Linked DNA regions of Drosophila melanogaster. The protein of the gene in region 1 interacts with the protein of each later gene in a biochemical or structural test. Each region holds a gene or a part of one and is shown on either strand. Other genes may lie near its edges.

Region 1 (8,150 bases):
TTCACTGCGGTCATTGAAGATGAAAGTATTTTCATACGACCCTTGATCTTTCATTTCAATGACCATTTAAGACATTTCAACTATTAACTACGCTTATCGATTGCCAATTACCAATTATATGAATATATTGCCATTGAATTGCCAAGACTGTGTCTATATCGTAATCTATTTAACCGATAATCGGTAATTTAGATTCACAATCTAACAATAATTAACTTTTTAATACTAATTCCGAGATTGCCATTAGATGTTAAAGCCGTCCGCATCCAGATGGGTAGGCGATGATGCTTGCGTAGGACTTATATGCTTCTGAATTAGGGAGTTCTTTCCATCGTAAGCAAAGAAACAATTGGTTGCGTTGCTAGTAGCTCTCTTTTGAGGTTGTTTACCCATCTGCATTAGAAGTTCGTCGATCCGTTCCGTTTTCAATTTAATAATACTCTCCATGTGGGTCAATCGCTGTTGATAGGCATCGATAATAACATCTTTTGCATGACTATCACGTTCCACTTTCTCGTACAGCGAATATAGGATCATTTTCTGCGGCACCTGAACTATGCCATCGCCGATCTGTTTGTTAACCACAACAGTTTTTATCTCATCATTTTCCTCCCAAAGTTGTTCCTGCCGCAATGCCGCATTTCGTTGTTCTGCAAGGCGTTGTCGTTTCTCCAATCGTATCACTTCATGCAACATGACTTCGGCGGCACCACTAACACCATTCGCCATTTGCTCCATAAAATCTTTAGTCAACGTCATATTTAACTTGGATAACACTTTAAAGTTGAATGTCTCCCAATTGGCCAACTTCAGCTGAACACTACTCTTCTTCGGATAATTGAAGAGATCCACCAAGCGCGGATAATCGCGTTTGAATATTTCGGCCAGCGGCAAAACATCGGAAAACTCGCGACGCAATCTTTGAGTGCTAATACTATTTTGTTGCATCCATTTGTTAACTTCCTCTAACTCTTCGCGGCTCAGATTCTTGCCACTCACGATATGCATCCTTGGTGATAATGATATGATATGCAATAGCAAAATCAATTTGTAAATATGGTCTCGGCTTTATTGTTGTGTGGGTATACACATATTAAAATATCCGATGTGTCTGAGTTTGAGTCTGAATCGGCTAAAAGATTCAACTACAGTGAGTGCAAATCCAAAGCATCCTTTGGGTAGGAATCTTAAATATGGGATAGTACGGTAAAAGCTATTATATTGGGGCATTATTAATACCCCTTTTATTCTTATTTTGAGTCTTGGAAAATTCCCATTCAAAGTCTTCTATGCTTTCGTATTTATAAGTTTCTGTATGATTTGTTTGCCGACAACACCGTAGATTCAATCCCTACTTTTTGGCCTACACTGCACTGGAGTATAATACTTTTCAGTATACACGTATTATTGTATCTTATAATTTAGATCATCAGTTATCTGTTATACTACTTACCGATGTTATACTAATACAATTAATGTATAACAGCAAATCGCGTTCAAGAACACAAGTTTGCTATTTGTAAGCACTGTAAAATGTAATGTAGAAAAGTTTATGTAAAGTATATTACGATTTAAATGCGATTTACTTGTATAGCTTATAGTTAAAAAATTCTACCATGTTAATTATATTCATATCAAATAAAAAGAAATTAAGATAAAAAAAACCTTTGTTGATTGGTATTTAAAATAATTAACTACTGAAAAATCGATTCATTCACTTAGGAACCAACTTTCGCTACCAGCTCATGAATTTCCCAACTTCAATAAAATCCCTGGTGAAAGCTTTGGGACAGACCTTTCTTTCCCCAACTAGGGGAGATGTCCCGAGCAGTGTTGAGTATCCGTATGGACTCAACAGAAATCCCCTTTGAGTGACTCACTCACTGGATTCGAGTGTGCAGACAAGCTTTCGCTCATTTGTGTTCGGCTTTTCATTTGAACGCTTGGAATGGAGTCCAAAGTTTTTGCCAACGACAGTTCATTACGGTTTTCAAGGATAAGCGATACCTACGTGCTCGCCGGATAGAGCGCATGTGAATATAACGCACCAAAGTACATCTGCGTATTTCCTACCGTCTTTATAACATAGTTTGAGTAAATTATCTTTTTTTCAGTGTGTACACAAATGTGTTAATAATAAAATCAAGTATAAACTTCTGTATGCCTGGATAAAGTAATATTTTTTTGTGCATTTTTTTTGTTGTTGTTGTTGCTAACTCAATGTGCCAGTGTATTTTTTTTGTACAAATGTGACTTGTGCCAACAGAGCAAGGGATTTACTAATCGCCGCAATTCCAATCAGGTATCTTGAATGGTAGACAACACAACACATCGCTGCACATGGTAAGTGAAATAGGGATAGAAAAAACGGCTGTCAAACTGCATGAATATTTAAGGGACCAATTAACTGCTGAGCTTAATCAAAAATTCCAGTAAAAAGTTAATCAAATAATATAAATAATTTAATTTAATATAAATTTGTGAAGTTCCAACTAGTATTCGAAAAATGAGACTATTACGTTTCGTTAGCTTTTTATAAATGAATGAATCCGCCATGGGCAAAAAAAAAAATATTAATCTTGCTGCCACAGATATATCATTTTCGATGGGTGTATAGACAGGAAGCTTAGATTATGGTAGAGGAGACGAACTCAAAACGAAATAAGAAAAAATGCCGCTGGCAAGTGTCCCAAAAAGCAAATTCCACGCTACTCACTGGTCTGCTACCAAATATATTGAATCGTTTTTTTATAATTGACAAAATATAATATCCACCGCAAAACAAATTCATTTTTCAACACCTTTAAGTTCGTTTTTGTTTCACAATAATATTTTGTTTTACGTTATTTTAAATTCCAAATTCCACAAGCCAAACACATATGCGCTTTTCATGGCCAGCAATTTTAAAAAGCTTAAAAATTTTAAAAATTATTCATACTTCATACTAAAACCGGGTCGTGTCGCACGGCGCATTTTTTCGTTATTGTATTTGTTTTGTTTTGCATGCCTTGAGCCAAGAATTAATAGTCAGTCCTCCTCCATTATTTGAATAGTTCAGTCCCATGGGCCTAGAGATGCGCTGATCAAACCATTGTTCGAGAGCCTTTAACGTCCCCCTCATAACCTTCTAAGCAAAATCTATAGCCTGCCCCATTAAACTGGGTCACACAGATTCACAATATCTTCAATTTTTACTGCGCTTTAATAAAAATGAACATAGAGTATCAGGCTTTAAGATGTTTTGGTTAGTTTATTGGGCTTATACATAAGTGCTTTTTTGTTATCCATCGGCCACTTGGCAAAACCAACACAAGAAAAGAAATAAAAAAATAGTAGTGACATAAAAATGTGAGAGCAGATTTTTGTACATATAAATGTATCAAGTGTTGTGTCCCGAAGCTCAAGCATTAGGTCACTTTTTCCCAAACTTTTAAATGACTAACATAAAACACTGCAGACAAACCAAAGTTCAAAGTAATTTGTTTGCATTTATTATAATAGTTGTAAGAGTAAGAACAAAGAAATCATTTTCCCTGCAATTAATTCACTTATTCTTGATATGCATCAGCATCCTTGTGGGTAGAAACTCTTGAGCAAATGATTTTCCTTGAATACTTTACTACGTTCTCTTGCAGTAATTTAAATGGTAAAGAAAAGAGGGAAATATACGCTGAGCCATCGACAAGATTCAGTGCCAGAAAGCAGCTGAGTTTTCTCGGAACTAAGATGAAGGTTACTGATTTCTCTCGAGCACATTCCGTAAGTCACGTCGCCCCGTGCAAAGGATGAGGCTTCCGAAAGGATATAGGACACTATCACCAGCATCGAACGCTGCCCAGACGCTACCACTCTCCTACAATTCACAAACCAGTCTGAGCCTTCTTCGGCTGCTCACAATTGCTCTGGTGATTGGATCGCAAGTTCAAGTTCTATGTAAGTGTAGCCCTTAAGTTTCCCTTAACTTTGTTTGCAAAACAGCATTTAAATAACCCCGAAGCCTTTGTTATGACTCCTTTTCCCATGTTTTGTGCTCTTTACTTATCAAGGTAGCATCAGTTAGGGGAAGTTCAATTATTCTTAATGGACCGGGTTTTCTTAGAAACTTACAACGGATATTTAAACATCAAACTTTCTAATTCGGACAATTTGGTAGAAAACTGGGTATATAATACACTTTTCATTCATTTGCGGCTAGTAAAATCTGAAATATTTTGTCATGGGAAGCAAATATTGAAAATATGTGTGTTAAGTTAAATGGAAAAAAGAAAATAAGAAACTATACCATAAAGTCTTGGGCATCCAACGAATAAAACTTTGTAAAAAGTTGTGGCTTAAAAATAATACTACAGATTTACGTCTATAACTACAGAGTACGAATTTAATATTATTCAGTATATAGTTAGGACCTTTATTTCTACCAACCCTACTATATTTTTACCTATTTAACAACGTAACCAAGGTTGTAATTAGTCCTAAGCCCATGAATATAGCATATTTGAATAAAGCCAATGGGGTAATTTAAAAATGGTTAGATATTTCTGAGGAGCTGAGCTCTTGTTTAAATATATTTTTTCTTGCATTCTTCACCTTTTCAATTCAGACACGACATCCGTCGAAACAAAATCCCCCTCCGCAAGTGAACAATCCAGAAACGGCGAGAATCGTTCATTACTTTTTGATGACTATAATAAAACTAAATCGACATTATCAACTGCTGATTACCTGTCAGCCACAAGGGCAACCCTTTACGCGTTTTCATCGCAGGATCAGGACGAGGACCATTCCCAAATGCCAATCGAGGCGTCTAACGCTCCGCACAGCCCCATTCCCACGAAAATGAGTCGGGGTAAAATACCCATGGAGACACCGGGCAGCATGGAGTTTAGCAGCAATAGCCTTCCAATCAAAAATGTAGGGACAACTGATCAGCTGACGACTGTGACCATGCCCACCACAGCATTCGCATCCCTAAAAGTCGACAGAAGTACCATGAAACAGCCAATTGATTCCACACGCACGAGGAATCATTGGACAGCAAGTGGTAAGTGGGATAGCTTTGGTATTATGCAGAACAGCATATAGCAATTGTACAAAAGTACGTGTATGAAAGTTTTTAGCAAAGTTTTCATCGTAAATATTGCATTTTTGGCAACAGCCATTTGATCGAAACAAAATTAATAAATGTCTAAACATGGATTGCCATAACACGTCAGACTCGTTATGAAATTTCAAATCGACTGGCATTCAAGTTTAAAAATTAAATTTTTTGACTTTTTTTTGGTAATTTTGATAAATTTTCCGAAATTTTTTTCTAAATCCGGCAAACAGTATTATGTTTTGGCATGGCTAAAAACCTGCATAACACAGTTGTTTCATTAGCTGTATAATAAATTTAAGCCGAATACGGATTAAAATAAATCACGGAAATATCGAATTCTTGCATAAAGTATTTTCCAGATTTTCGCTACACTTTTTCTGATCAAAACATTGAAAATAATAATAATAATATGGAATGTCATAACTTCTAATTTAATTTTAAATTTTTAAAAATGCGTAATTTTTTGGATTTTTTACCTTAAAAAACGAGGAAATTAAAAGATAAATATTTTTAAATTGGTGATTATAAATAATGATTGTTACCGTTGGAAAAAGGTGGTTTAAAATATAAAATGAGGCATCTTCAAAGAAAACGAACGGATGTACATAAATACATACATATGTATATATGACATTCTTCAAAATGAATGCGGCAACCCCTACGTGTACTACGTGCATACATACATATGTATGTATGTAGTATATATGTATATTCTTAATTTCGATTTAATTTTTCGGAAACTTTTTTAAATCTTGGCAGGATTCGCACGTGTCACAGAACGACCACGTAGCAAGCACCACCACGAGCACCACTGGGGACCCTTTTTTGAGGAGCCCATCAACTCGGCAACCTCGGGTGACAACCTCGTTTCCGCCGTACATTTGTTTACGGAAGCGGTGCTCAATTGCCGTGTCGGTATGCTCAAGGATAAAACTGTAAGTGAACGCCATTTTGATATGTACGCAGATTCATATGTACATACCTTCGTACGTACATACCCATACATACATATACATGCATACATGCACGTAAATAAATATCTATTGTTCTGCACAGTTAATTGATTTCACAAATGATGAAACAACCGAAATAATTGGAAATAAATTAGCTCTCACTACCTATGTGTTCACGGATTTTATTTACTTTATTTACTGTTTTACTTTATAAGACAAAACAAAAAGCAAGTTTTTAAGCCATTAAACCCCTTTTTTGAATAAATATAATTTAGTTACTATTCAATTTGATTGCCTTTCTTAATATGTTTACATCAAACATACAATGTATGTATGTATGCATATGGCAACAAAAAACACCCACCGCCACCACCATTGCATTGAAACTCATTTGTGTATGAGTACTTTTTTACGGATGTGTGTGTGTGCAATATCGGTAAACCAATAAACGCACAAAAATTTGCCCATTTAACCATAAATATTATATTTATTACATACTCATTACACAGGCCTGCAAGTACTCACTTATTATCATTTTACCTAATTGTTGGCACTTTTAGGAGCAACGAAATGTACAAAAACTGATTTAATTTAATTGTTTCGCGGCAGCCATTTTCTTTACCGATGCTCGCAAAATATGACAATGAAATGAGAGAGAATAAGAAGAAGCCGATGAGAGAGCCTATTTTCTTTTCAGCTATTCTCATAATTCGATCCTCCCGTTTGTTTTTGTTAAACCGATAGTCGTGAGAGAGCGCTTTGAGAGAGATAAATGTGTAACGTGTTTTACCGTTTCGACTATTTTCTTTTACTTATCATATGTACGAACATACATATGTACATATATGCCCAATCTTGCGGTTACTTTAAATAAGATTTTGAATTTCCAACTTCCAGGTCATGTGGGTCAGGCGAACGGCAGAGAAGGTATCGCTCCTGACCGTTGGCAACGTGACCTACAGTGGAGACCCGAGAATTCGGGTGAAGTTCCAGTACCCGAACAATTGGCGATTACTTATCAATCCCACGCAGACTGAAGATGCCGGAGTTTACATGTGCCAGGTTTCCACCCATCCCCCCCGGGTATTCACCACAAATCTCACTGTCTTGGGTATGGATACCACCAATTCTAACCTTATAACGAATCCTACATGGCAAGTTTTCCGCTTTCAGAACCCCCCCTGAGGATAATCGATGAGCACGAGAGGGACGTGGGGGATCGTTATTATAAGTCTGGAAGCACCGTCGATCTACAATGCCAAATATCGCGTAGCTTTTTCCAAAAAGAACGTCAGACCATTCTAAAATCAACCGATTCTGCAAACGATGCTGTACAGAAACTAATCAATGAGACGACTAGTGAGCTTAATCTAATTGGCAACGTAAATCAGACGCAACACAAGTTCTCTGGCCAGGATCTGGAGAAATACTTCACCAAGTTTATAACCTGGGCAAAGGACGAAGAACCACTGCAAGGAATGACCAATAGGCGCTTAAGGTAGATTACAAACGATGCAAGTCGGAATTCCTATATACTGTGTCCTGTGTATTGCAGCGTTTCCGATGTTTGGCTAACCAGTCGTATCTCCATTGGAGATGCCAAACTATCCGATAGTGGCAACTATTCCTGTTCCCTTGGCAGACTGTTCACCGTAATTGTCCAAGTTCAAGTGCTCACAGGTAATTAATTAGTGATTGAAGTTTCGTGAAAATCATTTCCCTGATATGTTATATATATCTTTACAGGCGAACTACCCGCAGCTGTTCAGCACAATATTGGTTCAAGAACCGAAATCTATTCCCTTGCGATGTTGGGTCATCTCCTTGTACTCATTTTCCTCTTCACTTGCCTGAAAACCGAAAATCGACATTTCTGAGGCTTTAATCTGAGAAGGGACTGCGGAAAACCCCATAGCCATTCGATTTTCACAAACAATTAACCAATAATATTAGGTATAAACGAGATTGGCTGGTTCTAAACAACGGTTTTAGTTTTAAAGTTGAGAATCAGAAGGTGATTTCATTACATATTTTTGTTATAGTGCCTACGGTGTATAAGACTTTAAATTTGTTTGGACAAATATTCTTAAAAATTTGTT
Region 2 (4,922 bases), on another chromosome or scaffold:
GCAGGGCATACTTAACCAAAGTCGCAGACAAACTGCAAAAGAAATTGTGAATATATCTACACAGGAAAACAGGAACCAAACTTTCCATTTTCAATTTGCTGCAGACTTTGGCTAAGTACCAGAGAAGGAGGTCCAATATTTCCGACCGGTTTTGTATACTTTTTTTCCATTTTGTTTAGCTCTGTCTACTTAAACTCGCATTGAACTGGAAGAATAACATTGAACAGCAAACAATCAGCAGTCAAAAATTTCATTGTTAAGGCGGCAGCGGGAAAAAATAGCAAAACAAGTAGAGGGGAAAAACAGGAAACTTTCGGACAAGGCGTGAAAAATACAAAAAGACTGGGAAAGAGAGAAAAAAACTTTTTCCATGGTGAGAAAAACTTTACAAAGCAGCCAACAAAGTGTTGTAATGGCTGGCATCCAAAGGGATCCCCCGTCCAACGCTTGACTTTTGACCCAACGAAGCGAATGTGTTGCAACGACCTTTGTGGCCTTTCCGCCTCCGCCTCCTCATTCGCCATCACCTAATCCACCCGCTCCACCCACTCTTCCTGTTTTGGTCACATCCTGGCGCAACAGTCGACCACGCCCACTCGCCGCCCTATCACCTCTGGGATTCCCCCCACAATGAACTTGCCAAGCGATGGTGCACGTTTCTCCTTGGGTGTGTGGTGTGTAGAGGAATCCCAGGGAGAGGGTCACAGAGCAGTCATCTTGTCTGCCGTCTAGCCTTGTCAGTTTTAATGTTTTTGGCATTGAGCGATGTCTGTGATTTGAAAGAGTTCATTAAGATAGTTCAGTATGGCCAACAGGGAGAATTCATCACTCTCATATCGCATACAATCCGTCTATATATAGACTAACTTTCAGACGGATATGCATCGTTTTTTTTTCCTTCTGCACAACTGACCAGTGCTTGTCGAGATGATTACAGTGCCCTTAAAACAAGGTCTAGTTAAAAAATAGCAAAACTTTTTTCGTGCACCTAATTTAATAGGATAAAATCATCATGAAATACTTCAAAAAATAAGTAACTAAAAATATTATCTGTCTAACCATTCAAAAATACCACTGTTAACTTTGAAAAGAACTTCTTAATTAACCGTCTACCAACTGACAACCAGCTTTGCTAGCTCAGTCAGTCATAAAACGCAATTATCACCCTCAATTAGATGGTCCTGCATCAGCGAAAATCGAATAAGCAACGCTTGCAAATTGAATATCTCAAATTAATTGCACTTTTTTCGCTCAACATACGCACATGGACTTGAAATGAAATGCAAATAAATTTAATTAACTTGTCTAATTAAATACTTGGCTCCAAATAGCAATATGCAGCAACCAACGGAAAGCAAAAATGTGTTTTGATTTTGTTTTCATTTTATCTTAATTCAATTATTATTAAAAGGGTACAGCTTCAGCCGGAACGAGCCAAAAAGGTTCGACGGCGGAATCGGCATGCAACTCGAACTTTGAGAGGTGATTTTGGGGCATGGTGTTGCAGGTTGGACTCTGTTAACATTTTTGTCGCGTGTTTTGCGGTCTGTTGTTGTGGTTGCGGTTGCACGCAAACAACAAGCCTCCGAACATAACAAGGATACCGGACATAACCAGCAACCGGCAGCAACAACTACCAATGAACAGCATCCAGCGTCCTTTGGTTGGCTTAAACCGAAGCTACACTTCGGCTCGCTCTGTCGGCCGTCGGCTCGTCCCCGCCTGTTATCACTCGGCCAACGCGGCGTATACGTAACAGCACTTCCCATTCGTTAGATTTTCCCTTATTGTTGTTGGTGGAAAGCCAGAGCCCGGCTCTGTGCGAGCATTAGGTTTCGTCGGCAAATCAGTTTCGCTACGGATTCTGCACGAAGCGGACGCGTTTTATCGGTGTTACACTGAAAGATCCCCGGCAAAGGGAAAGTCGTACTCAAGTGTCATGTGATCGATGCCAAATTAGAAGCACCTGACTCAATGTGATCGTGTTGAGAAATGACTTAAAAGTCGAGCTAAAAAACTTAGGTCCACTTGATTATAAAATTTAAAAAAATACCAAAACTTGTAAGCGTTTTATTGAAAGATTACAATTTGTAAAAGTGGTTGAAAACTTGGTATATCATACGTAACACAAAACTAACCTACAGAATTAAATATTCACAAAAATATTCTTGTAGTTACAGTATGTAAATTAATTATTTCAATACATGCAATTCATACTATTAAGGTCTTAAACAGAAGAACAATTTGATCATCGGAAAAGTCTTTTTTATTAATAATTCATAGAATAGAATAGAAACTTTATAAAAATATGGAATTTTAAATTTAACAAACTTTAGATATTATTTATAAATATCAGTGACAGAAGTATATTAAATCGAAAGTTCCAACAATTTTTAAAAGTGCGAGTGCCGGTTAGGATAAGTAATTATAAGCTATGTTAAAAATTGAAAATGCAATAAGGAGTTGGTTTAATGCGTTTGTTTCGTTACGCTATATATTATATTTATGTATAAAATCTTAATTACAATATATAATGTAAAAGGTTTATGTTTGGGACTGCAGATCATTCAAATGCAATTAAAGACTTCGATTTATCTTAGTGCGAGTATTTCAAATAACTGAACTCCATTTAATGGTTAACCACAGCTACAATCCAGACCACAAACTCACATGTCACTTGTCAGGCCCTCGAAATGGGTAAACAATTAACAGTTAACTCTGCTAATGCACATTTCATGCCAACAAAAAGTAAACAAACAGCGAGACTATCTCCAGGACCCTCGAAGTCCTTAAATCCCGAAAACTGGCAGACACGCACACAACGCCATTCTTCAATCTGTGAAAAATTCCCAAACAAACTTATATGCGAATAAATGAATCCACTAGAGTTCACTTTGGGACAACTCGCAAAAAAAATAGTCGAAGGGGAAATTTGTTGCGATTGATAAAGGACAGCAGTTGTTGCCACTGCAACGCAATGCACAACACACAAACACAACCGAAAACAGCAAGGCAAATATAAACAAAGAATTTAGCTTAAAAATACATTAACCCACTGCATCCATGAGAATCAGGATATGCAGGGAAAAGGGCCAGGACCCGACTGCCAACTGCTGAAAACTTGCATACTTAATGGAGTAGGAGATAGAGACAGACAACGCAGAGAGTACAGTGGGGCCTATGTGTTACTGGACACAACTGTATTCCAAATGCAGAATAAGTCTTTGAGTATGAATATTGTCAAAGCTCATTGTAAACGTTTCTTAGCATTTTGTTACAATTTATTAAAAAAAAAAAATATTAAAGAGAAATATTTAATTACAGTATACAACATTGGAAACTAATAGAAATTGTTGTAAAAATACTTTACATAATTTATTCAATATACCAAGACTTAGAATGGATCCACCACTAATATCAATATATCGGTTCTTATGGTCCAAATATTTTAATTCCATTTAATATATAATTAAGATTTAAATTATTTCATATTTATAACATATGTGAAATGATTCATTTTGTTGGGTATCCACTGTACAATGGTATGTTTTGCATTCAGGCATCATTGCAGATCAATGGCAATATGGAGCTGATACAGTTTGAGTAAGACACGTAAACACACAGAGCAGAAGAAGGATGGGAAACTCATGGATGTCAGCTGTTTCAGAACTTTTTTCAAAAGCTAGTGAAGAGAGGGCTTATTGGTTCTTTATTTATTTCCATCTTTTTTGAATTCTTTTTTGAGTTCAGCTTTGTTGCGTTTTGTTTGCTCGAGTTCGGTTTGACGTTTGCAGTTACAGGAACTTTACAAATTGTGTAGAGTAAAACAAACAAAATAGCAAAACTTTGATGCTGCTGATGATGATGTCGAAAATATGTGTGAGCTTTGATCATAAGTGCATATTTATTGGTGCGTTTATTTGGTAAATTTAGTTTCTATATTGCACTTCTGAAAATATAATAGAGTACTTTATCCAGATAAAATCAGAGTTAAATTGAGTCTAGTTAAGCTTGTATTATCCGAATAAATAGTAACGTGAACTAACGAATTTTCGATAAGGGAGAGATGTAAGTCCTTAAATAAAACCAAATTAAATCGGAATTTTATTTTCATGTATTTGTATTGTTTGCTGCCAAAATATAAGTGATAGGTAACAGGCACAACCTTTCTAGCTTGCTTCTTCTTTGAAGAACCTTTTAATGTAAATAAATTCGGCCATAGGTAAACATATCTTAATTCAATTTCGGCCTCCTTTGTGCTGCTTTCTTTTCTCCCTTCAATTACCACAAAACCATGAAGGTTAAAAGCTGTCAGGCATTTATAGAAGCTTAGGAGAAATCCCCTGAGAGCTAGGAACATTTTTTTTGGGCTAATGACTATGTCAGGATTAATTTACGTTTACACAGAATCTTTTAAAAAGAAAATTTAAACACCCAATAAAAAATATTATAATGGCTATGAACTTAGTCAGCATAAACAAATAAATGTTATTGTCTCTTTCATCTACGCACCCGTTTAGTTAAGTCCCTTTAATCCCGCAACAATTATAAGCCAATTTGTTTTACCAAAAAGTTATCATTATAAAAACAGCAAAAACCAAACAAACACTAAATAGCCCCATTAAAATTTAATTTCCTAGCATAAAAATACAAGAAAAACACATTCGGAACAAGTTTCTCCCTCAACAATTTATTAATTTAATTACAAACACTTTGCCAAACTCATAAAAAAGTGCATAAAATTTGTTGGACTTCTTGTTCTTGTTTCTGATGGTAAATCTGTTTCGGTCCATACCAAAAAAGCTTTATCATGTGTGCGTGGTTTTTGGGGGAAGAGGTGGAGTCAAAATTGCTTAATTTCATAAGCGAGTCATAAGGGAAAAAGTTTTGTCTCTGTGTAAGTGTTTCGCAAGCTGCGTGTG

The links.
Region 2: the proteins of dpr18 (region 1) and DIP-zeta form a complex in vitro, tested with the Drosophila melanogaster proteins (one study listed by BioGRID).

What each region holds. Positions count from the first base shown.
Region 1 is NC_004354.4:16,061,767-16,069,916, forward strand, and holds the start of dpr18 (defective proboscis extension response 18), read left to right. Parts: upstream 1-1,971; 5' UTR 1,972-2,052; intron 2,053-2,114; 5' UTR 2,115-2,343; intron 2,344-3,635; 5' UTR 3,636-3,785; coding exon 3,786-3,933; intron 3,934-4,600; coding exon 4,601-5,041; intron 5,042-5,857; coding exon 5,858-6,033; intron 6,034-6,948; coding exon 6,949-7,162; intron 7,163-7,224; coding exon 7,225-7,549; intron 7,550-7,606; coding exon 7,607-7,731; intron 7,732-7,797; coding exon 7,798-7,928; 3' UTR 7,929-8,150. Other genes in the region: CG12395 (uncharacterized protein), read right to left, coding at 244-1,008.
Region 2 is NT_033779.5:9,068,089-9,073,010, reverse strand, and holds the start of DIP-zeta (Dpr-interacting protein zeta), read left to right. Parts: upstream 1-1,846; 5' UTR 1,847-2,179; intron 2,180-4,922.